Schizosaccharomyces pombe: one gene and its partners. Changing the gene in region 3 together with the main gene of any one other region gives a genetic interaction. Each region holds a gene or a part of one and is shown on either strand. Other genes may lie near its edges. The genes, in order: amk2, swd22, hos2 and arp6.

Region 1 (5,231 bases), on a different chromosome or scaffold from region 3:
ATAAAGTACCAATACACGCTTTGAACCAAAAGAATAGCAGGATCAGCAAGGATCCATAAAAATAGGCTCACAATTCGTAAAATAAATATTACAACTGTTCTTATTGTGAGAAAACCTGGAAGTAGTACATTACCAAAGACCTTCAAGCTAACGTTCCAGGAAATGACAGCGCTCACATATAGGATGGTAGATAGAATTTTAAGGCTTCTTAATAAGTAATTGAGCACTACAGCTCTGACTACAGTCCATATAGTTTCAAAGCCCTCAATAAACGAGAGATCCATGTCTTAAACAAAAAAGTTTTAAATTAGTGCTCTTAATAATTAGCACTCTGGATGTAAGTGATCAAGGAAGGTGCCCTTTCAAGTTGTTTGCGTAATGCACTATCTTGTATACCATGTCAGCAATATGACACTACGCTATGATACACTACGTTGCGTATCACTATATGTCACATGTTCTAATTATATATCGTACCATGTATGATACGATATGGAGATTGATCTTAATGATAATCTATTAAGATCAATATTATCTGAATACTATAAATAGAGCTACTGCTGAACCTCGTTCCTCAGTTCAGTTATGAGCTATATTAGTGATAGGTAACATTATAACCCAGTTAATACAATACCTATACTCAGTTGCTACTTATACAACCTGTGTATTGTAATATAATAGATCACAAGGAAAACTCACCGTAGTTCTACGTATCCTTAAATCAGATACCAAACTGCGTAGCGTACATACCAATTCTAAATACTACTATTCCTACAATACATTAATGTCAGCTTATATAAAATACACTACGATACACTATAACATATGCTCTAATATTCTATTTGCTCTATTTACTTACAAGATAAGTTATCAAGAAGATTATAATAGTGTTCAATAATAAAAAGATGTTATTTTATTACATAGTTTTTTCAATGCTTTAAATTAAGACAAACTGAACCTCGTTCCTCAGTTCAGTTATTAGCTAAATCGGTCACCAATACTAGTAGACTTATAACAATAAATATAATATTGTTAGTGAAGCATACCCATACCGTTATCTTGTAGCCCGCAAAAGAAACTCATCGCATTTTAGTGTATCGCTAAACAAATACCAAACTACGTAGCAAACAATAAATCGCGTAGGTTATTCATTAAAAGCCTCTAGGATATGTATGGGTATAATTTGTATATTTAAACGGTCTATTTCAAATCCTTCCTCGTGTTCGTGGCTTTAAAACAGCATAAAAAGATTACCACTGAAATCAAAATTTCGTTTGAGTTAGGTGAACGGAAAGAGTACTCTAACAGCATATTCAACCATATGTACTTCAATTCATGACATTTTTGTAATGGAACATATCATATCAAAAAACAATACTTCATACTTTATTGTATCATTAAACCAATACTGAGCTGCGTACTAACAACATATAAGTTTTCACTACTTTGCTTCGTTATAGATTATAAAGTGAAGGATTCATCGCAACAAAAATTCACGTTTGGTTTGGTAAAGTCGTCATTTAACTAAAAAATAATATATTCTTCGTTTCATATGGAATGTATTTAATCAGTACGTTCATTGAAAACACTGTTCTTGTTTTTGCAATGCAGTGATTTTAGTTCGCTTATTTCGCAGCATAATAAGTAGACATGAAAAATTGACGGAAATAGAGCATTTGATATCTAGAAATTCAGGCTTTTTTTAAGTTCGTAACTTAATTTGAGTGATTTCGTCTGAGAAATAGAAGCGTCTTTTTTACGAAAGAAGTTTTTGCGCCATACTTATATATTGTTATACTAGAACGTAGTTAAAAAAGATGAAGCTATACGAGCGTAATGTACAAGGTATTCATTAATTTATAAACATATAATATGCAGGCCTTTCGGTTATGGAAGTTTAACTCAATTAAAGCCTCGCTAAGTTACAATAATTATAAGTGAACCGCTTTTAGTGTATAATTAACTTGAAGGCCTCTCAATGCACAGAGTAGTTTAAAATTTTTCTATATCGTTTCATATGTAGCTTCAATAATTTTTTAAACATTTCCATTAAGAATGAGAAGCATGCTGCTTTTTACCTTCAAAAGATTATACATAGCTGTTGTAGAACTGTATTATACGTCCCAAATGCAATATTAAATTTTTCAGCTTTTATCATACAGCTTTTAGATATTTATTCTTTATAATAAATGGATTTTCAATTAATGTTTTCTTTGATAAAGCTGCAAAACAGTACGAAGCGTTTAACTGTGAATAACGCTGCACTTTAGCTTCCACTATTTAATGATAGCTTAGATACAATAAATAACCTTATTTCATGCTCGTTGGGGTTTAGTTCAAAGTGATGAGCTACAAAGCCAGAACAAACTACTTTACATCATTTCAAAATGGGAAATGTTCAATCTCAGGAGGGTAATGTCCTTTAAGTTAAACACATGTGAAATAAGTATCTAATTTAATGTTAGGAGAGACTCGCGCACATGCTGTCCCTTCTCAAGATGCCACAACAACGCCTGACAATGCAAATAACGTTCCAAAAGAACCACGTGCCCAAAGCATGATTAGTATTGCTGCAGATGATTTGAATCAAGAAGGTGAAATGTCGGATGATAATCAGCAGGAAGGCGGTAATAATCGTACTTCCCAAAACGGAACTTCAGGATCGAGTGGTCATACGAAACGCCGTTCTCAAACTTCAGGCAAGAAGACACATCAGCCTTATTCTGGTAAGTTTCTTTAAGACCGGTTTATTTGATTGCTTGACATCCTTATGTAACAAGGGTGATTTACCGTAACATTGCATTATCATTTAAGCTGTTGACCTTAACGTTTGTTTGCAATAGTTTTCAGAAAGGAGATTTTTTGCAATTGACAATTTAATTACTTACACATATAGGTCCTTGTGTGCCAACCATTATTCGATGGAGAGGAGGCGGTGAAGTTGTTTATGTCACTGGATCGTTTTCTCGTTGGAAGAAAAAAATCCAATTACTGAAAAGGTATGAGTTTTTCATGGTGTGCTTTTTTCTATATTTGAGCCTCCCTTTATAGGTTGTTTATCCTGTTTTAAGCTTGCTAACTTTTTCGCCAAATAGCGAAGATTACACTGTCCTTTTGCAATTACGTCCTGGAACTCAGCGTTTTAAATTCTTGGTTGATGGTATATGGTGCTGTTCTTCAGATTTTCCAACTGCCACCGATGCGGAAGGCAACCTTTACAACTACCTCGAGGTGGAAGCTAATGAGAAGTTAGGCGCTAGTATTGATGAAAGATTGAGTCAAGTTCATACGGACCTTCCGATGGAGGAAAAGTCTGAATCTGAGCAATATTCTACGGAGATACCAGCTTTTCTTACTAGCAACACCCTTCAAGAGTTGAAGTTGCCAAAGCCCCCTTCTCTACCTCCTCATCTTGAGAAGTGTATCCTTAACTCAAATACTGCCTATAAGGAGGATCAGTCTGTCTTGCCAAATCCTAATCACGTCCTTTTAAACCATTTAGCAGCTGCAAATACCCAGTTAGGCGTTCTCGCTTTAAGTGCTACTACGCGCTATCATCGAAAGGTAAGTCGGTTCCTTATACGCGTTGCTTGACTAACTTTGTTTCCCCAGTATGTCACTACTGCTATGTTTAAAAATTTTGATGTCTAGCCATACCGCATCTGTCGAATTTATTGTTTATATTTCGCGACGTATATAATCACTTTAATGATAAATTTATTTTTTTAAATTTCTCAAACATCCCATCATTATACTTCATTTGATTGGTTTATTTGCACGATTTTGTTTCGAGAAAACTTTACGCTGTGATATCAAGCACAAAGCAACCAGTTCATATTTCACTATGTAGCGATCCATAGGTTAATTAATTTTTATAAATACATATCTAGTTACTTCACTTCACGATGTTATTCTCTTAATCCTTTGCGTAACGGAACCTTTTCCACAAATATAGCAATAGGTAGAAGAACGAAAAAATCGCGACTCCATTAGTCACCCATTCTACGACATGTTTATAGGATAAATCGGCTATTGGAATAGATATGCTTAAGGTTGTTGGATCGTTTTGTAAGGTATATTTGTTCTTACTGGAAAACAGAAATCTGAAATCATTTACTTTGTCTTCAGTGTCACAATTCCAGAAAAACTTGGGATTTGTTAATGATGTTTTTAAGTATGTTTGTCCTTTGAGAGGGCTTTGATAACGTGTGTGTAAGGGAATGATAGTGTCTATATAGTCTTTTTGCAACAAACCATCGTCCGTATATATGTCAAACCAGAAAAAAGACCCAGTACCATTTAATTTGTAACTAGGTGCTTCCAAGTCGGTCTCACCCCAAATTCCTAAAACATGCCCTAAATTGTCGGCATGCATTTCCGCAATATTAGATAGCTCGTACCTGTCAATAAACAATGTAGGTGGTATGTACATGAACCCCTGCAAAGAGCATTCGTCTTCAGGTTTATGCAGATTTTTCAAATGAACATGCAATTTGGGATGTAGACCTACCGGCAAACCGAGCTGTGTCTCATAACTACCCACTGGTATATCTAAATTTGGAACAGTTTCCAAAGACACATTCCATCCCTTTTCACTCATACAAGCAAAAATCATTTCTTCATTGTTTAAAGCTTTATTTCCTTTGTCAATAAATATCTGCATAAATTCTTCAGATACTACTTCTGAATGGAAAACCTTTCCAAAAGGGGTTTCAACCCAATAATTCTAGTACAAATTAGCTAGAGGTTTCACAATTCGTAGTGTTGAATATAGGTTATTACCTCTCTCGAAAGATGCGATATATTAATATTGTTTTTGATCTCCCTAAACTGTTTGGCGATAGACCTTGAAATGGTATTAGATCTAGCATTTTCAAGAAGCTACTTACAAAGAATCTATTGTATTGTTTCTTAGAATCCAAACACCCTTGGGCAAATAATTTACTGTGTTGGAAATAACAACTTTAAACAATGTTGTTGTTCCAGTATCTTGATTTGTTCTTTGTAAATCCATCTAATTGTATTTATTAGGAATGAACGATTTCATTAAAACAGTAAAATTTAACTGTCTTCTCTAAAGTAGCCTTTCTTTAAAAAGTCAATAACTTAATTATGCGGGGTTCAAAGTGAGTTGTACACGCAGGAATTTAATTTCGATTTTTGCACCAAGTGCAGCATTAAAATTGAAGTAATTGAATTCTTCTTAAATATTTTCTATCCTTTTTTAAATA
Region 2 (5,298 bases), 1.5 Mb from region 3:
CAAACATAAAGTCAACAGGATCTATATATTCCCATTCCGCCTTTCCAATAGCTGACTAGTTACATTAGTTTTTAACTCTGTTACAAATTCCATTCTGACGTACCTTTTGGTAATAAGTGTCTTGTAAAAGTTCCCATTCTTTCGTAAATTAGTATAACTATGCAACTGAACGGCATACCATAGATGGGATACTTTATTGAAGGCTCCATTTCTATTTTATTTAGAAAATGCTAAAAAGGTGAAGCAACTTCTATAAATGTAGTTCAATGTATATTACACGTGAGTATTGTGACGAACAGTGGTATCCCCGATCACACTTAAAGCAACTGGTAAGAGTCATCTCACTATGTCAAGCACCTAAACAATTCGCTTTCCCGTTTACCTGGGATTTCTTTAATTTAATCTTTTTTTTTAATTACAGTGGATTGAAGGAATAAGAAAACAGATATATCTAGGAGTCATTTACATGCATACGTATGCGTTATACAATGTCAACATGGTATATGTCAAAAGATAGAATAGTATTAACATTATTTTGCTTATCGCAAAGTTTGATTTCTTGATATTCATATATCAATGAATTCTAGCGAATCCTTTAATAAAAAGGGTATTAGTAAAAATTCTAACATTGCATGAAGAAAATTAAGATCGGGAAATATGAAAAATCAATTAAAGATTTATGAGGATTTTATATTTTAAAAATTTTTAGTTCATTTGTTGAAATGACAGGTTCCTCAGGTTTACGTATAGGTAGTTGTTGAAGACATAAATAAGATTATATAATAATTAAAACCTGGGAGAAGATTACGGTATGCTTTAGCAGTATAATCATGATGTTAAGGCATATTTTTCGGGAAGCCAAAAAACGAGTTGGGACCCTGCAGTCAAAAGTTGATCATACCTAGGATTATACTTAACAAGACCTGGATTAATTATAGACTGAGAAACAATACGATGTTCAGGAGGTCTTGTTTTTCCTTTATGGTGAAAGGTATGTCTTAAATTCCATACATTCAGGGTACGGTCGTCAGCAGATCCTATGACAAAATTACCTTGAGGTACAAAAGTGGTTGAGCCGCCGTGAAAATTGTTGGAGAACGGCAATTCTTGGAAGTCCTCTAATCTAGATAAAACATCCCCGCTGAATGCATCAAGTATATAGTGAACATTAGCTCTAGTTGAGAGAAGTATACATTTTCCATCGTTGGAAAACTCCATATGTTTCCACTCAGGCATCATGGGGGGAAACGAAAACCTTGATAAGTAACGAGAGTCATCTATTGTGAATGTTGAAAACGGATCAGAACCATAATTCCGCACGTCGTAAAGAAAGATACGTGACAGTGAATGACATGCAACCGCAAAAACAAGACCTGTGGGATCATAAGCGGGAATTCCAAGGGATGGGAGATCTAAATTTCCAAGGCATCTCGAGGATTGATTCATTTTCCAAAGCTTCAAGGTTTTGTCGTTTGCCGTACTAACGAATTGGTCTTCAATAGGAGAAACCTCAATGGATGAAACGATGTCCGTGTGCCCACTGAAGTACGATATTCTTTTGTTGTCATAAATTGAAACATATTGAATATCCTTATTCCCCTTTGTGGTAGACAAAAGTAGATTATGATCGTGGTGTGTAAAACGAGCAACTTCTATGCCGGTTTCGAAACAAGTTATTGTATGGACTTGCTTCGGATCTAAAGCATCATATATTTGGACTGTGTCATCGGCAGAACATGTCGTTGCAACATACTCTCCAGAATCACTGTAATCAATGCTATTAATGAAGCTTCCTAATGAGTTATCACGAAACGACTGTGCAGGCTTTAAACTCGAAAGTATGCCGATATCCATTGAGAATTAAATAAAATATATAAATTCTCTTTGAATTTCCTTTTATATCCCCTTAAGGGCCTTTCTACTTTGCTAAGCCCTTGCTTGCATTTGTTTACTTGTGATTCCACAAAATTAGAGTAGTGCCAGACAACGTGTTTAACGAACTGTAGCACGTTTTAGTATACAGTTTTAAATTACAATTCGAAAACTTTTAAAAAGAATAGTGAAGTTGAAAATTAACAGGCTATTAATTTCTCCACCAAAAATACACTTGATTAATAAAAGAGTCTGAAGGCTTGATATTGTGGAAATGGAGGCGTGATGTTATCAAAACTTTCATATTATCAAATATAATTTAAGAGTAAATTTTTATTAAGGAAAACTTATAAACAAAGCTACCAAGGAAGCTGGATCATTCCATGAAATACAGCAGAACCAGTTTCAATTATTTTGTCGCTTGCTTGTAATCCTCAAAGCTCTGTATTTTTGTTATTTTCTGAATAAATTTTTCTTAGATATCGCGAATTTGCTTTTGCAAACCGTTAACAGATTAATTAAAATTACTAAGGAACGGCGTGATTCACGAACTTCTAAAATTCAGCAAAAATTATTTAAATAACTACTTTCGATCCTCAGTCGTTGTTATTCGAATTAGAAGGGAATGAATATTTGCATAATTCATTTCTTATCCTGAACTTTATACTGTTTAAGTCTTTCGCATTCTGTCTAGCGTGATGTGGATTTTAAAGTCAGGGTTCAATCGGTGTAGAAATTTTTCATTCATGAACAGAGGCCTTTTAGGCCTTAGAAACTTGTCTGTCACACACAACAATCTTGTTTCCTATTTAGAACATTTGAGTGTTCAGAAGCCTTCAACGTCGAATACTGTTGCCCAAGGAACCTTGTTTGAATACTTGGTACAGTATGTGCTAAAGCAACACAGTTTTCAGCTTGAAAGATGTGGTGGAAAGGGCGATGGTGGGGTGGATTTGGTGGGCCAATTTTCGATTAAAAATGTGTTGTTTGAGCCCACCAAAGTTGTCGTATCCTGCAAATCTAACAAGGGATCAATAGGGCCCAGATTTGTTAGAGAGCTTGAAGGCTCTTTGTCATCTTATCCAACAGATACTCTTGGGATTTTGGCTTGTTTGGGTTCTTTCACATCATCCTCACTGAAGACTTTGTCCATCAGCAACAGACCTCTTGCCTTATGCCGCATATATGTTGACGGATTTCATAGCTACATGTTTCAATTTGTTTGGAATCACCAAGCTTTGGCTATTTTTCCCGACCTGAGTGTGCGCCAGATTTACAAGCTTCCTTCGCCAACCGCTAATATTGTGCCTTTATCTCAGGAATTTTCCCAAGTGAATTATGTTTCCTTATTTGAACTATTACAGCCATTATCACGTACGGAAGAAAGGCCAGTACCTTTAGTGTTGGTCTACAAAAATCAAAAAATATCTCTTAACTGTTGATGACAGCTCATATATTAATTCATCTTTTTCTATTTCCATCATGCTAATGTGAGTTATTCAGTCTTTGATAAACCAATAAACTTTGTAAAGAGATATTATTCAAGGTAATAAATAGAAATAAAATTCAATGAACGAATGTCTACCAAATAAAAACGAAGTTCTATCTTGAAAATTAAAGTATGATAAGTGTTCAACAGTGTGAAAATAAAGGAAATAATGTAATATAAAAGAGAGAATAAAGAAAAAAGAGAAAAGAATTAAATAATATTGTTACAAGTTTCCATTAAGAAATAGATCGCAAAAATTTGTGCTTAATAAAATACTTCATTCTAGGAATGATCGGCCATTTCGAAATGTTTTGTACAAAAAAACCATTCTTGGCATACAAAAATAAAAGCCAAAAAAAGTATAACCCAACTACATTGTGAATGAGGTATGGTTTTTCAGCTCCATATATCAATGAATAGAAAGACAGAAGAAACAAAAAAACGTTATTTATGTAGTACTCCACGTCGTTCAAACGAGGTAGCATCTTTCCTGTTCGTAAAATTTCGGTGAGTAATATAAAAGGGATAATTGAGAAGAAATTATGATGTGTGGGGAAAGGAATAGACCAATGCATGGAAAGATTTCTAGCCCAAACAATGAGAACAGGAAAGTCCAAAGGAGCTAAGAGTAACATCAGTATTGTTATCGTGCAAGAGAAATTGTAGAAATCCCACAATTTTTTTCGGTAATGGCTTGACTTGGTGCAAAATCGGGCCAAGTGTAAAGCTTTAGCAGTAGTTACTGTCTGGGTACATAAAGCAACACCATAAACAAGTTGAAAGGGTACCACCGTCATTGCCATGAGCAACAATAACATGATGCCAATTATCCGAGCTTGCATATGCTTCTTTCCATATACGTAACAGAGAGAAGGGTTTGCATAATACATATTTCTCTGAGATAGAAAACTCGAAAGTTTTTTAAATTCTCCATGATCCAATTTTCTAGTATTTCTTGTTCTCAGACATTGAAAGGAGAACTTCACAGCTTGGCATACACCAGTAAAAGTCAAACCTTTATAACGCAAGTAGATACCATATATGAATGCTAATAAATGCATGACACAGAGTATAATAACACTGGCTGTTATAACTAAGCCAACAAACATTAAAGTTAACAGCGGGGCGAGGAACCAAAATTGAGCAGTCTGTAGTCCAAAAAGTAAATGATTTTGTTTCCAGAAAGATTTTGGAACCATCATTGCGAATATTTTCCAAGAGGCGACAGGGTCAGCACCATCGGCAACAATCAACTCTACTCTGCTAATTAAATATGAAAATGCAATTGACAAGATCGAAACTAAAAAAAGGAGTTTGATAAGTCCTTTGCGAATCATGACTTCAAGTGCAGCCGACATACTCAAGTATGCAGAACCGTAATGAAAATACCTAAACTGATTGTAAGCTGCCAAACTAATTACAACCACAGGAAAGGAAGCAAGTAATGTTCTGTAACGCATGAGCAGACGCCCAGCGCTCCTGTAATAACTTGGCTGTATTGAAACATAAACCGACTTATAGATAGCAGGATTCAAAAAGAATTCGAGAGTTAAAGATTTTTCTGATTCCTTACCAAAAAATTCCATAAATGGGGATATCCCGTGAACAGAAAGTTCTGTATTTGACATATTCACATGATATTTTGTTTCAAATGGAGATTCAATACTTTGCTTTAACATAGGGGTAAATTCTTTTTGAGGTACGGCACCAGGATAAAGTTCGTACGTTACTGAAATGGTGTAAGCCATAATTGAGCTCTGAATACCAGGGAACCTGAAGCGTTTCGAAATCGATCCTTTGGTGTCGAATTGAAATTTTCTTCCGCTTTTGAAGAGTTCAATTTGAGAACCTTTAATCGTTTTAGGATCCAACGAAACATTTGAAAATCCCCCAACAACAAACCCACTAGCGGGTGCTTTCGAATCATCAGACACTAA
Region 3 (5,539 bases):
CATTTAAATATAATTAAGTCTAAACGCCCGGTAAATATTGTTAGTTTTTTTTTTCTAGCATTATGTTGCATTTTCGATTTTTCGCGTTTTGATGCAACACCTTTTCATATCGCTACGTCTGCCTTTTAGTTTTTTTGTACTTTTTCTAACTGATTTAGAAAAAATTGGGGAATTCGGCTGGTATTGGTCAAGGAAGAGCCTTTAAACTCGGTTGGATTAAGAAAGATGGAGACAAGCTTGTTAAAAATGTAAGGCAAAGTTATAGTAGTGCAAATTGATTTAACGTTATGCAATATTTTATTTACTAACTGACCAGACTGATTCCATTACAGATGAGACCCCTAAGGTCCTTAGTGAAATTAAGGAACATGGAACTATCTCTGACAGTAAGACGTTAACTGATTTGAAGAAGAGAAAGCTTGTTGAACGTAACAAAATTATGTACTTCTCTTTGAGGAAAGGTCCAAATTTCTCGCTTCAAATTGAAAAACTGAACACCGATTTAACTGCTGAGATGATCACCTCTCGATCATGGGAAAGTGCCAAGTTTAAATCTTACAACTTTGCAGCTGAAGGTATACCTCCAGCTGGTGGATGTCTTCATCCTTTGATGAAAGTACGTGAAGAATTCCGTAAATTTTTCTTCGAATTGGGTTTTGAAGAAATGCCAACCAACAATTTTGTTGAAAGTGGATTTTGGAACTTTGATGCTTTATTTGTCCCCCAACAACATTCAGCAAGGGATGCTCAAGATACTTTCTTTTTGAAAGTTCCTGCTTCTACTGATAAATTGCCAGATCCCGAATATGTTGCTCGAGTAAAGGCCACTCACGAAAACGGTGGTGAGACTAAGGGCATTGGATACCGTGCTCCCTTTTCCTTGGAGGAAACTCGTAAACTAGTTCTTCGTACTCATACTACTGCTGTCTCGGCGAATATGTTGTACAAACTTGCCCAAAATGGCTTTCACCCTGCTAAATACTTCTCAATTGATCGGGTCTTCCGCAATGAAACCGTTGACGCAACTCATCTTGCCGAATTTCATCAAGTCGAAGGCGTAATCTGCGATAGAAATATTACCCTCGGTGATTTGATCGGTTTCCTTGAGGTGTTCTTTGGAAAAATGAACGTTAAAAATTTGCGCTTCAAACCTGCTTATAATCCTTATACTGAACCTTCATTGGAAGTCTTTTCCTACCACGAAAAGCTTGGTAAGTGGGTTGAAGTCGGAAACAGCGGCATGTTCCGTCCGGAGATGTTAGAGCCTATGGGATTACCTAAAGATGTTCGTTGTTTAGGTTTTGGTCTTTCTTTAGAGCGCCCCACTATGATCAAATATGGTGTGGCCGACATTAGACAATTGATTGGTCCTAAGGTTAACTTGGACCTAATTGAGGCTAGCCCTGCAGTTCGTTTAGACAAAGAGGAATAAATTTAGTGTTTTTTTTTGCATAATCGTTTATAAAAATAATACATAATCACTATGGTAAACGTATTTTCGTATAGGGTCAATTATTAATATTTACAATGTCTATAAACATTAACTAAAATTATTTGATGTTTGTACGGATATCAAATAAAAAGTCGAAAATTCATTAATATCAGCCTCGAACGCGAACATCCACAGCTTTGTCTAAGTATTCATCATTCAACCGTTCGTCTTCTTCTTCCAAATGCCCAGTTAAGTCTGGTGGAATTTGCTGCATCTGAACGCTTGGCGCTCCTCCTAAGTAACGTAATTGCTCCAAGGCCCGTATTCGAAGATCTTCAAGAGCTTTCGGTGTATTTTTATTTTCTATCTTCGTGGTTAATCGCGGATGGAGGGTGTAATCTGGTGCGAAAAATTCGTAATACAAAGTTTCACGAGGTAATTCTGAAGGTATTTGTTCGTTTACACATATGGAAGTTTCATAACACCACGCTCTAGCAACATTTCTAAGAGTATAACCACCACCTCCAACTACAAGCATGGGTATATTGAATGAACGGGTAAATCTAACACATTCCCCATGTGCATGGATGCTCAGATTGAACACGCCGAGCCGATCATAACCAAGCGAATCAGCACCACACTGAAGGACAATTGCAGAAGGTTGAAAAGTATTGATAGTTGGTTCAATTATGGATTTGAAAAGACTAGTGTACTGTTCATCACCAATACCATCTTCCAAAGGAACGTTTAAAGCAAAATATTTCCCTCCTTTCACGCCATTTTCATCAAAATTACCAGTTGCAGGAAAAAAATCACCATTATACTTGTGAAAAGAAACCGTCAACACGCGGTCAGATTCATAGAATGCTTGCTGCACACCATCTCCATGATGAATATCGATATCGATATACAAAACGCGAGGAAAAAACCGTAGCATGTTCAAAATTGCTAGAACAATATCATTAACATAGCAGAATCCACTAGCCTCACCACGCTTTGCATGATGGAGACCACCGCTCCAATTGATAGCAATGTCTGTTTGACCTTGCACTAACTTCCGAGAAGCATCCAAACTAGCGCCTGCCGACCTTTGAGAAAATTCATAAGTGCCGTCAAAGACCGGACAGTCATCACCAATATTGAATTGTTGGAACTTATCAGCAAATTGTTCAGCATTATCAGGAGTAACGCGCTTAAGGAAATCCAAATAATCCTCCCTATGAAATTCTGACATTTCACCAAAAGTTGCCATCCGGGGGCTGAATACACTCATTTTGTTATGCAACCCATAACCCATCACTAAATGATTTGTAATGGTAATTCGATGGGGCTTCATTGGATGTTTGTCACCATAGTGGTAGTTTCCCACCTGTTCATCTAAGTGATATGTGACACGCTTTTTTTGAGGTCGAAAGCTAAAAAAAGACCCCTTTTCAACTTGTTCATAAGGTGTGGATGTCTCAGGAGTATCCATGATATACAGACTATTATACTAAAAAAAACCGCGAGACAAATTAAATGAAAATATCTTTTCTAAAGAAAGAACAAGAAAAGAATAAATAAAATTAAGAAACAAATTAATAACTGTTTCAGAAGAAACAAGAGAAATGAAAGTTATTGACCAATGCCAAATTAATATAAATCGAAAAACAACCCAGATTTTTTTATAGAAAAGAATTCAATCCAAATAATAAACAGCAACACGAACTGTAAATACTTTATTTTTACGTCGAGCGCAGAATACGTAGCAAAAGGTCGCTAAACCCGATACCTTATTAGATAAAATGTACAACTTCAACAAAGCGTTAATTCAAACTCTTTGAAGCCCATAAACACAAGAACAAATAGGATTTACAATTTTTTGAAGAATTGCTAGTGCTGGTTCATTCTTATAACTTAAAAATGTATATCTCAGTGAACACAGAAGGAAGCTACCAACTTAGGTGTAGTTTAGTATGTTATGCTTCCATATATGAACTAACACATTAATAACGTATCGTTATTACTTAAACAGATGGTAACCTTTAGCATGTGAATTCATAGACAATTTGGCAACTTAGATATCATACATACGTTGAAAAGATTTATCTTCAAAGTGATTTGGTTTGCGTGAATTCTTATGTTTTTATTTCGCCCTCTTTGCCTTCCAGTACTGTGTTTACATTATATGGAGTGGCGGAACTCAACACCAAATGTGGGCTACTATAAACAACCGGAAAAATTTTCAGCAGCTTAAGAGAGTGTAAAAATAATCTTTAAACGACACAAAAACGAGCCATAGGTTCATATATATTATTTCAATTAGTGTCTTTGTCCTTCTCGTTTGTACATTTATTGTCACATTCCTCTACTTTAAAAGATAAAGTCATAGTATCTTTTATTCATTAGTTATTGAAGTATCGAAAATATTAGTGGAATATCAACTTTCCCTATCTCTTTAAAAGACTCAAATCTCCCTTTCTTTTGGAATTTGAAATCATAATAATAATTTTTGCATAAAGCGGAAATTAGAACGTATCTATAATTTTCAATTTGAGAATAATGGCAGATGATACAGCTTACATACTAAGTGAGTATTTGCAAACGTTGGATAATGTTCCCAACGAAACAAAACACATCTTTGACGAAATTAGTGTGAAGGAAGTTGCTGTACATGACATCTGGAAGAGAATTCAAGCAGCTGATTCTCAGATTCAGTCATACATTAAATCACATGGTTCCTTGACCCCACATCCAAAAGAAGATGCTTTGTATTCGACGATTCGCGAGGAGTATCAAAAGGCAATTAATATACAGAACGAGAAAGTCCAGTTGGCGGATCGTGCCAGATTGGGACTTACACGGCACATAAAGCGATTGGATGATAGACTTGCAAAGGCCGGTCATGGATTTACAGCTGCGGAATTGTTAAATGCTCCTGACTACTATGCTTCTTCACCGTATGGTGGATACAGTCCAAGTGGTGCCTCAAGTGCTCGTCAAACACCGGCCCCTTCTCGGTCGGGAGCCTCAACAGCTGGTCGCCGTCGTACTTCAGCAACTACCAGGGGTGCAATTCAAAATGGAGTCTATCACTCTCCTTATACGGCTTCGTTGGCAGATTCTGGTTCAACTCGCGGTCAGAAGGTTTCGAATGCCACTGCAACCACCCAGTTAGAAACTAAGGCAGATTCCACAACGCCGAATGAAATGGTCTCAGAAGAAGATATGGAAGAGGATAATGAAAAGTATTGTTTTTGCCAGCAAGGATCATATGGGCAAATGGTCGCTTGTGACAATGCTAATTGTGAGCGTGAATGGTTCCATATGGAGTGTGTTGGTCTTAAAGCTCCTCCTGAAGGTACATGGTATTGCGAAGCTTGTAGGGATCAGAAGCTTGTTGATGCTAAGTAATTTTTCCCCAATCTAAAGTCTGTTGGTCTTCCCATTATTGAATGCAAGCATTGTTGTTTTTTTTTGGGCTTTAATATCCGCTAATTTTTCACCTGTTCCGAACTTACTATATTTGATTATACGTTGTTCAAGCTGTGTATATGTGATTTGCAAAATGGTTAATTTATTAATCATATCTTCACGATTACGAATCCTTTTTATCTTATTCTTGTCCTTGTTTGTTTTTCACTCACATAATAAGTACCAGATTACTTGTACATTAAGAAATTCAGTTCTTTAATTTCCCCAATCCTCCCCAAAGCAGATATTACACGCCGTAGCTAACCACAGTAATAAGTCTTTTGTAACTTTATTATTTGTAATTGCATTTGTTGTCCATTATTTCTACTATATTGGAACTGAACTTATTATTGTACATACAAAGGAACAAGATGCAGCGTCTAGCGTTTTCATATTATCTCGTAACATATAAAAGAACTCTTACGCATTCGGAAAAAAGAAGAGGAAATTTTTTAACCATAGATATCACTAGATAAATTTGATAAAGTGTATAGTACAAAATAAAAAGAACCCCAGATTATAATGGAACACTAAAGTGCCAAAAATTCACAATGAAAAAGCGTATATTAGCTAGTGTCTAATCCATTTACTCAGAACCGCTTTGGTCATCCTCTTCATCACCAGAGATTTCAGCATTTTCCTTTTCAAATTTTT
Region 4 (5,569 bases), on a different chromosome or scaffold from region 3:
GCCCCTTCATGACAGGAATATCCTCATTTTGAGGAGCATCATGTTTAATCCGTTTTACGGACTTGCGATATGATTTAGGGGTAATAACAGTTTGATGTTTAGGGGTGGTTGTGATAATATTTTCGTTATTAACAACCTCAAAATCGGTTTTCACTTCTCCTTCATCTTCCCTGTTGTCTTTCCAAGTTATAATTTCCTCCCTTTGTGCTTCGTTTGTCTTTTCCTCAATTCGATATTCCTTTTGTTTGGATACGGCATCATGTTTCGGGAGTACTATATTCGCAGATCGAGGAGCTAGAGGACATCTTCCTAGGTTCATGTGGTACAGCCACCTTACTAAATTAGTGTATTTGATTTTTCCTCTTAATGAGAGCCTAGCTTGGGATTAATTCTCTTTGTTTACTTTCGCAAAAGACAATATTAGTGTTTGGTGGTGGTCAACTCGAGATTACTGCAATTTGGCCAACTTTTACAGCTTAAAGTAACGATTCAATTGGGTAACATCTATGAAGAAAATATAAAATATCTGTACATATTTATATTATTAAAGTAAATTTATATCATTTAATCAACTTTTACTTTTATATTTAAGGCTTTACTGTTGAAAATGTGAGGGAAAATATATGTAGCCCATGAACAAGGCTCAACAGAAATAATTTGGGATCTCGATTCTTCTTATTACACAGTTTTCCTTTACTGAATTATATGATTAACTTGAGAAAAAGAACAATTTATCCAACAGAAGCAACAAAATTTCACGAAAAGCTCTTTCTATCCAAAATGTAAACAGACGCGACACGACTACATTGCAACGCAACGCGCTACATTCTAATTAAAGTAGTATACCGTGACTGCTCTAACTCAAGGTTGCTTTAACTCTTATACTGTCAACCTGAAACTGCACTGTACATATAAAATGCACTTGAAACAGTAGTGAAGAAGTGCTGAAATTTTTCTTTTTTTTCAATCTTGTTTTTCAGGCACATTAATAATATGTAAGTATAAACACTTGAAGAGATAGAATGTTACATATGATGCTTTACAAATCGATTAGTCTTGAAGACACAACTATGTGGTTAAATTTTTATACTTGTATACTGATTTTCATTCCTATCTTTTTTATAATATCTTTCATTTCGCTAACGCTTTTTAGGTATGAATTATCCTGGCGACAATAATAAAGATATAGTTATTTAGCTGTTGTTTTAGTGGTTGATCAAGAGATAGAATGATTCGTTAATTAATATAAAAAGATTTTATTCTTAATGCATGCATATTTTTCGTTTTATATTGCTGTAGCCTTAATGTAATAAACCAATTTCTTAAGATGCGAATTATCAGCTCGCCTTGAGAATTTTGTGAAGATAGAAATTTAACCCACATTATTGAGTTTTAAAATGGTGATCTATTATATTCTCCTTTTTCGTGTCATTATGTTTGCTCCATGTTCTGAGTACTCAGAACGAGTTATTTTATTCGCATTCCAGTGCTCCAACGGCATATGAGATGCCTTTTTCCATGGAAAGCAAATAGGATCTGAAGGTTCAAAAACTTTAACTTCCCAATTAGCTGGTGCCAGCGACCGTAATTCAGATGATAGTCTTTTATGAAATCCGGGAAATTTACAGTTTCCTCCTATTGTAACAACATTTTCAAGCAACATTGCCTGTATATTTTCAGGAAAGTGGGTGACACTTTGCATGACCGCCTCTGGAATCCCAGCCTCACGTATTTCGATATCAGATGGGGAAAATAATAATTCTGGTATCATGAATCTCTCATTTGAAAGATTCAAAACTTGTTGCTCTATTTTTTGATTAATATCTCTAACAATATATCCATGTTTTCCAGTGCTGTAATCGGGCAAAGCATAACAAATTTCCAATTTTGACCGTGGTTTTTCGTGACATATCTCCATGTCCTCCTTGAAGTTTTGAGACACATAACAAACGGACTCTTTAATTTCATTAACAATGTATGTTTCTTCCATCATATTGTACTTCCGGTATGAGATGACTTCTTTTAAATAATTCGTAAGTAATTTCCCTCCCACATCAACTCGCTTTACCGCTTGTTCTTGAACAGAGAAATCAATCACAGGAATTATGTGTGTAAAGCTATATCCAGAGTCAATTACCAAAACGCATTCTCCATGTTGACCAGTATACGCATCTTCTTGATTCATTGTGAAACTTCCATGATCCCAAGGAATTAGCTCAGCTGGGGTGCAAGGGAGGTAAGCATCGAATTGGAATTCCTCAAACACGAGTTGTATAGTATTGTGTTCTATGGAAGGCATTGTAAATACGGGCTGTGTAAGCAGTAAAGAATAGTCTGCCATGCTAGGTTCCATCACACCTACATTGCGCATTACCAAGTCCCATACGGCTGTTTCTGTGCTCCAATGGACCAAATACCCCTACTAGTATTAGTAAACATAATCTTTGTATTTATTTTGTTCGTAAATAATACTCCCTCATAAATGCTGTACCTTTTCATGCGCCCTGCGAAATTGTAAAGTTGTAAAGTCGTTACAGTTGGCCAATTCATTCCCCAAAAATAATCTGTTTCCATCTTTTGATCTCGTCAAACAATTCGGAATTTCACTAAAAACTATCGTTAGCTGAAAAAAGTAAAAGATACATGAAATTTATTGACGTGATGCACTTCTTCTTACACAACTTTTCCACCTGCAAATCCAGCTTTTATATGGTATGCCCCATTGTCTAAAACAATAGTTTTAGGGGGTAGTCCCATATTATTAATAAAAATGTATTCCTATATCTTAGGTCTTAACTTCACCCAAAAACCGCGATTAAATGTACTGTTGTTACGGCTTTGGAATGCTGTTATATGATAGCGTTGTGCTATAACAACAATATCATTACAGTTTGAAGCAATAGTATAATAACGCTGGCTCTTAAAGATATTTATGATATTTTTAATAATATCATAAATTTGAAGGATATCTTTTTAAAATAACTTTAAAGATAAATCTTGCAAATCTTAGCTTTATCAATATAACAACATCGTTAATGGGGGGCTGTCTATCAAATTTAGTTTGTAAAAGCCGTTTATCATATTATCCAACCCCTAAACTAGCCGTTATCAATTTAGTTAGCTGCTTAATTCAACGTACATCTAATATACCATTCATAAACACCGACTTTCCCTATACTACTAAATCGTGGATACTTAACTTTATGCTTATTTCCTCAAGAAAAATATATTTCTATTTCATTTTCTCATCAACTTGCGTTTGTCAATTCGCATAAAGTAAAAGCAAATGAACTAGTATTAATCGATTTTAAAACTTCTCATATTTATTAACTGGTATATTATGATTTTAAATTTCATTTAATCAATTGGCGTTCCAAAATTCTTATAAAAGAAACACACCTCTGCGTTTGTTTTCACCGAACTGTAAACCGATACAACAATAATTTTCTTAGCCTTCCCTTTAGACAAACCCTCCATCCATTTTTCCCAAGCCATAATTCCGGGTCGTATCTCATTGAAGAAATTATTTTTACAAACCCGTAGAGTTTGATTTCCCATTTAAAAAGAGCCGTTCAAATATGTCAGTTTGGCTTATTACCACTGTGTAGAAAATGCTTGTTTTATATTTTTATATTTTATTACCAAAATTGGACAGGCTTAGAGCGCCAAACAGGCTCATGTTTTATCGGAAGCGACAGCAAGGGTAGAGGGTTTTTCAGTTACCAATCTCTGTAAGGATTGCTGCTCGGATGCTTCCAAATTTTTGACAAGATCTTGTAATGTGACAGGGCTGTTGTCCTTTAAATGAACCATAAACTCTTGGAAAAGTGAAAATGGATCAACTTGATCTAACAAAGTATGGAAAAGAGGATCCTCGTCCAACAAGTAATTTCCTTGGAAATGCTCAAATTCGTCAAAATCGTCAACCACATCAGCCGAGATTTCTCCACCCAAATCAGGTCCCCCATATTCGACGGCAAAGTCATCGACACCCTCATCATCATCGGCTTCCCAATCGATGCCATCATTCCAACCAGAGCCAGATAAATTAAATGTTTCACCGTCATACTCTTTTTCTAATTCCGCGCGAGCAGCTAATGCTTCAGGTAGTGTATTTAAAAGAGTTATCATGACTTTCATTATATTACCCCAAGAGTCTTGGATAGCAACAGCAACTTGTTGAGCTCCCAGTGAAATTACCGATAAAATAGCTACCAAACTCAACTTTTTATCATGCACACGAGTAAACGAAGGTATATTTTCAAACCATAACGCAAAGAATGGTAAAGTCCACTGATGCATTTCAAGTACCCCAAGAGACATCGATGGGTTATAATATAATGCATTGATTATAACCTCCAACAAAAATACGCGGTATGTTTGAGAAGTTGGCTTTTCAGTTACAAGTAAGAGATTACCAGCAACCTCAATAAACGCAGGCACATATTGATCCAAAAGGCCACGATAATTAAGCATTAAAAGTTCGGTTAGTTTACAAGCCGAAACACGGTCATTGACGGCCAGGTGCTCGCTATTAAAAACTTGCATGATAATATCAACCATAACGGCGATATAATCAGGACGGGAAGCAAATTCCTTTCCACCATACGTGATAAAGTTACTTAAGGCAGGAGTTGCCTCCTCTACAAACTCAATGCCAGACTCTTTCAACACCTTTTGAAGCTTTTCATACACGCCCCACATAATAGGGGATATCTCCTTAGAAGCAAAAGTGCAACCATCGATAATTTCAAACAACTCTGCATACACGTCAAAAATGTTGTTATCTAATACAAAATTAATCATTGGAAGTAAGATTGCTTCAATTTCACGTAAGACATCAACCGTGTTCTCGAGACTTAAAATCATTGTACTGAGAGTATTTAAAATGCCAATAGCCGCAATCGATTTATCATCAACTAAGGAGTCAAAATCATCTACGGTAGTAGATTCGTCCATGGTTTCTTGCATAAGCTTGACGAAGGTATTGCGAAGTTGTTTAGCCAATTGTGAAGCAAAAGGTGTTAACTCGTGACTAAAAGAACTTACAAATTCCTCCATACAAGAAGATAAAGCATCAATATCAACTTCATTCGCCAGAAATAGGAGATTTTGCATAATGATGGGTACATGGGCGGTCATAACATCGTGTACCTCCAGATGACGCATAAGTGGTTGCAAAGCTAAAGCAGCTTGAATTCTCACAGGTAAATCGTTATCTTGAAGACAATTCAAAACTGCCTGGTATGCATTCAAAAGCTGCGATTTATCACTCCAATCAATTTCTGAAAACCGATTGATCATTTCACAAGCTCGAGATCGTAAATAACCAACTGGGCTAGTAAATTCGGGCATAACGTGAGCGACAAGGAAATCTTGCATCATGCCTGCAACAGGGGAGTTCTTAGAAAGGATGGAATTAGATACAGCAGCAACCATACGAAGTGCACCTTCTTTCTGGCGAGGATTTTTTTCATTAGGAGGTGAAGCGGCGTATTGGTTCAGGATGTCACTGGCGAAGGAAAGAATACCCATGAACGTATATTTCTTGCGTTTCGATGCTAATTTC

Evidence for each region.
Region 1: mutations in hos2 (region 3) and amk2 together harm fitness more than expected from each alone (negative genetic interaction), as found in Schizosaccharomyces pombe (2 studies listed by BioGRID).
Region 2: mutations in hos2 (region 3) and swd22 together harm fitness more than expected from each alone (negative genetic interaction), as found in Schizosaccharomyces pombe (2 studies listed by BioGRID).
Region 4: mutations in hos2 (region 3) and arp6 together harm fitness more than expected from each alone (negative genetic interaction), as found in Schizosaccharomyces pombe (2 studies listed by BioGRID).

The regions. Positions count from the first base shown.
Region 1 is NC_003421.2:2,206,156-2,211,386, reverse strand, and holds amk2 (serine/threonine protein kinase AMPK (beta) regulatory subunit Amk2), read left to right. Parts: upstream 1-2,359; 5' UTR 2,360-2,387; coding exon 2,388-2,412; exon of another isoform or gene 2,413-2,465; coding exon 2,466-2,726; exon of another isoform or gene 2,727-2,896; coding exon 2,897-2,999; intron 3,000-3,095; coding exon 3,096-3,564; intron 3,565-3,612; coding exon 3,613-3,651; 3' UTR 3,652-3,902; downstream 3,903-5,231. Other genes in the region: SPOM_SPCC1919.04 (uncharacterized protein), read right to left, coding at 1-284; pbn1 (GPI synthesis protein pig-X), read right to left, coding at 3,917-4,726, 4,783-4,846, 4,890-5,014. UniProt on the Schizosaccharomyces pombe protein: Beta subunit of AMP-activated protein kinase (AMPK), which is required for transcriptional, metabolic, and developmental adaptations in response to glucose limitation.
Region 2 is NC_003424.3:1,686,918-1,692,215, reverse strand, and holds swd22 (Set1C-histone-H3K4 methyltransferase complex subunit Swd2), read right to left. Parts: upstream 1,951-5,298; 5' UTR 1,855-1,950; coding exon 829-1,854; 3' UTR 501-828; downstream 1-500. Other genes in the region: HOPS complex subunit Vps16, read right to left, coding at 1-55, 104-138, 179-209; SPOM_SPAC824.03C (uncharacterized protein), read left to right, coding at 2,571-3,314; bst1 (GPI inositol deacylase), read right to left, coding at 3,598-5,298.
Region 3 is NC_003424.3:3,167,477-3,173,015, reverse strand, and holds hos2 (class 1 histone deacetylase Hos2), read right to left. Parts: upstream 3,346-5,539; 5' UTR 2,907-3,345; coding exon 1,602-2,906; 3' UTR 1,504-1,601; downstream 1-1,503. Other genes in the region: phenylalanine--tRNA (Phe) ligase alpha subunit Frs2, read left to right, coding at 159-248, 317-1,432; png1 (chromatin modification-related protein), read left to right, coding at 3,974-4,825; tif211 (translation initiation factor eIF2 alpha subunit), read right to left, coding at 5,472-5,539.
Region 4 is NC_003421.2:1,209,196-1,214,764, reverse strand, and holds arp6 (Swr1 actin-like protein Arp6), read right to left. Parts: upstream 2,827-5,569; 5' UTR 2,758-2,826; coding exon 2,678-2,757; exon of another isoform or gene 2,607-2,677; coding exon 2,492-2,606; exon of another isoform or gene 2,420-2,491; coding exon 1,409-2,419; 3' UTR 1,106-1,408; downstream 1-1,105. Other genes in the region: Hsk1-Dfp1 kinase complex regulatory subunit Dfp1, read right to left, coding at 1-319; nmd5 (karyopherin), read right to left, coding at 3,676-5,569.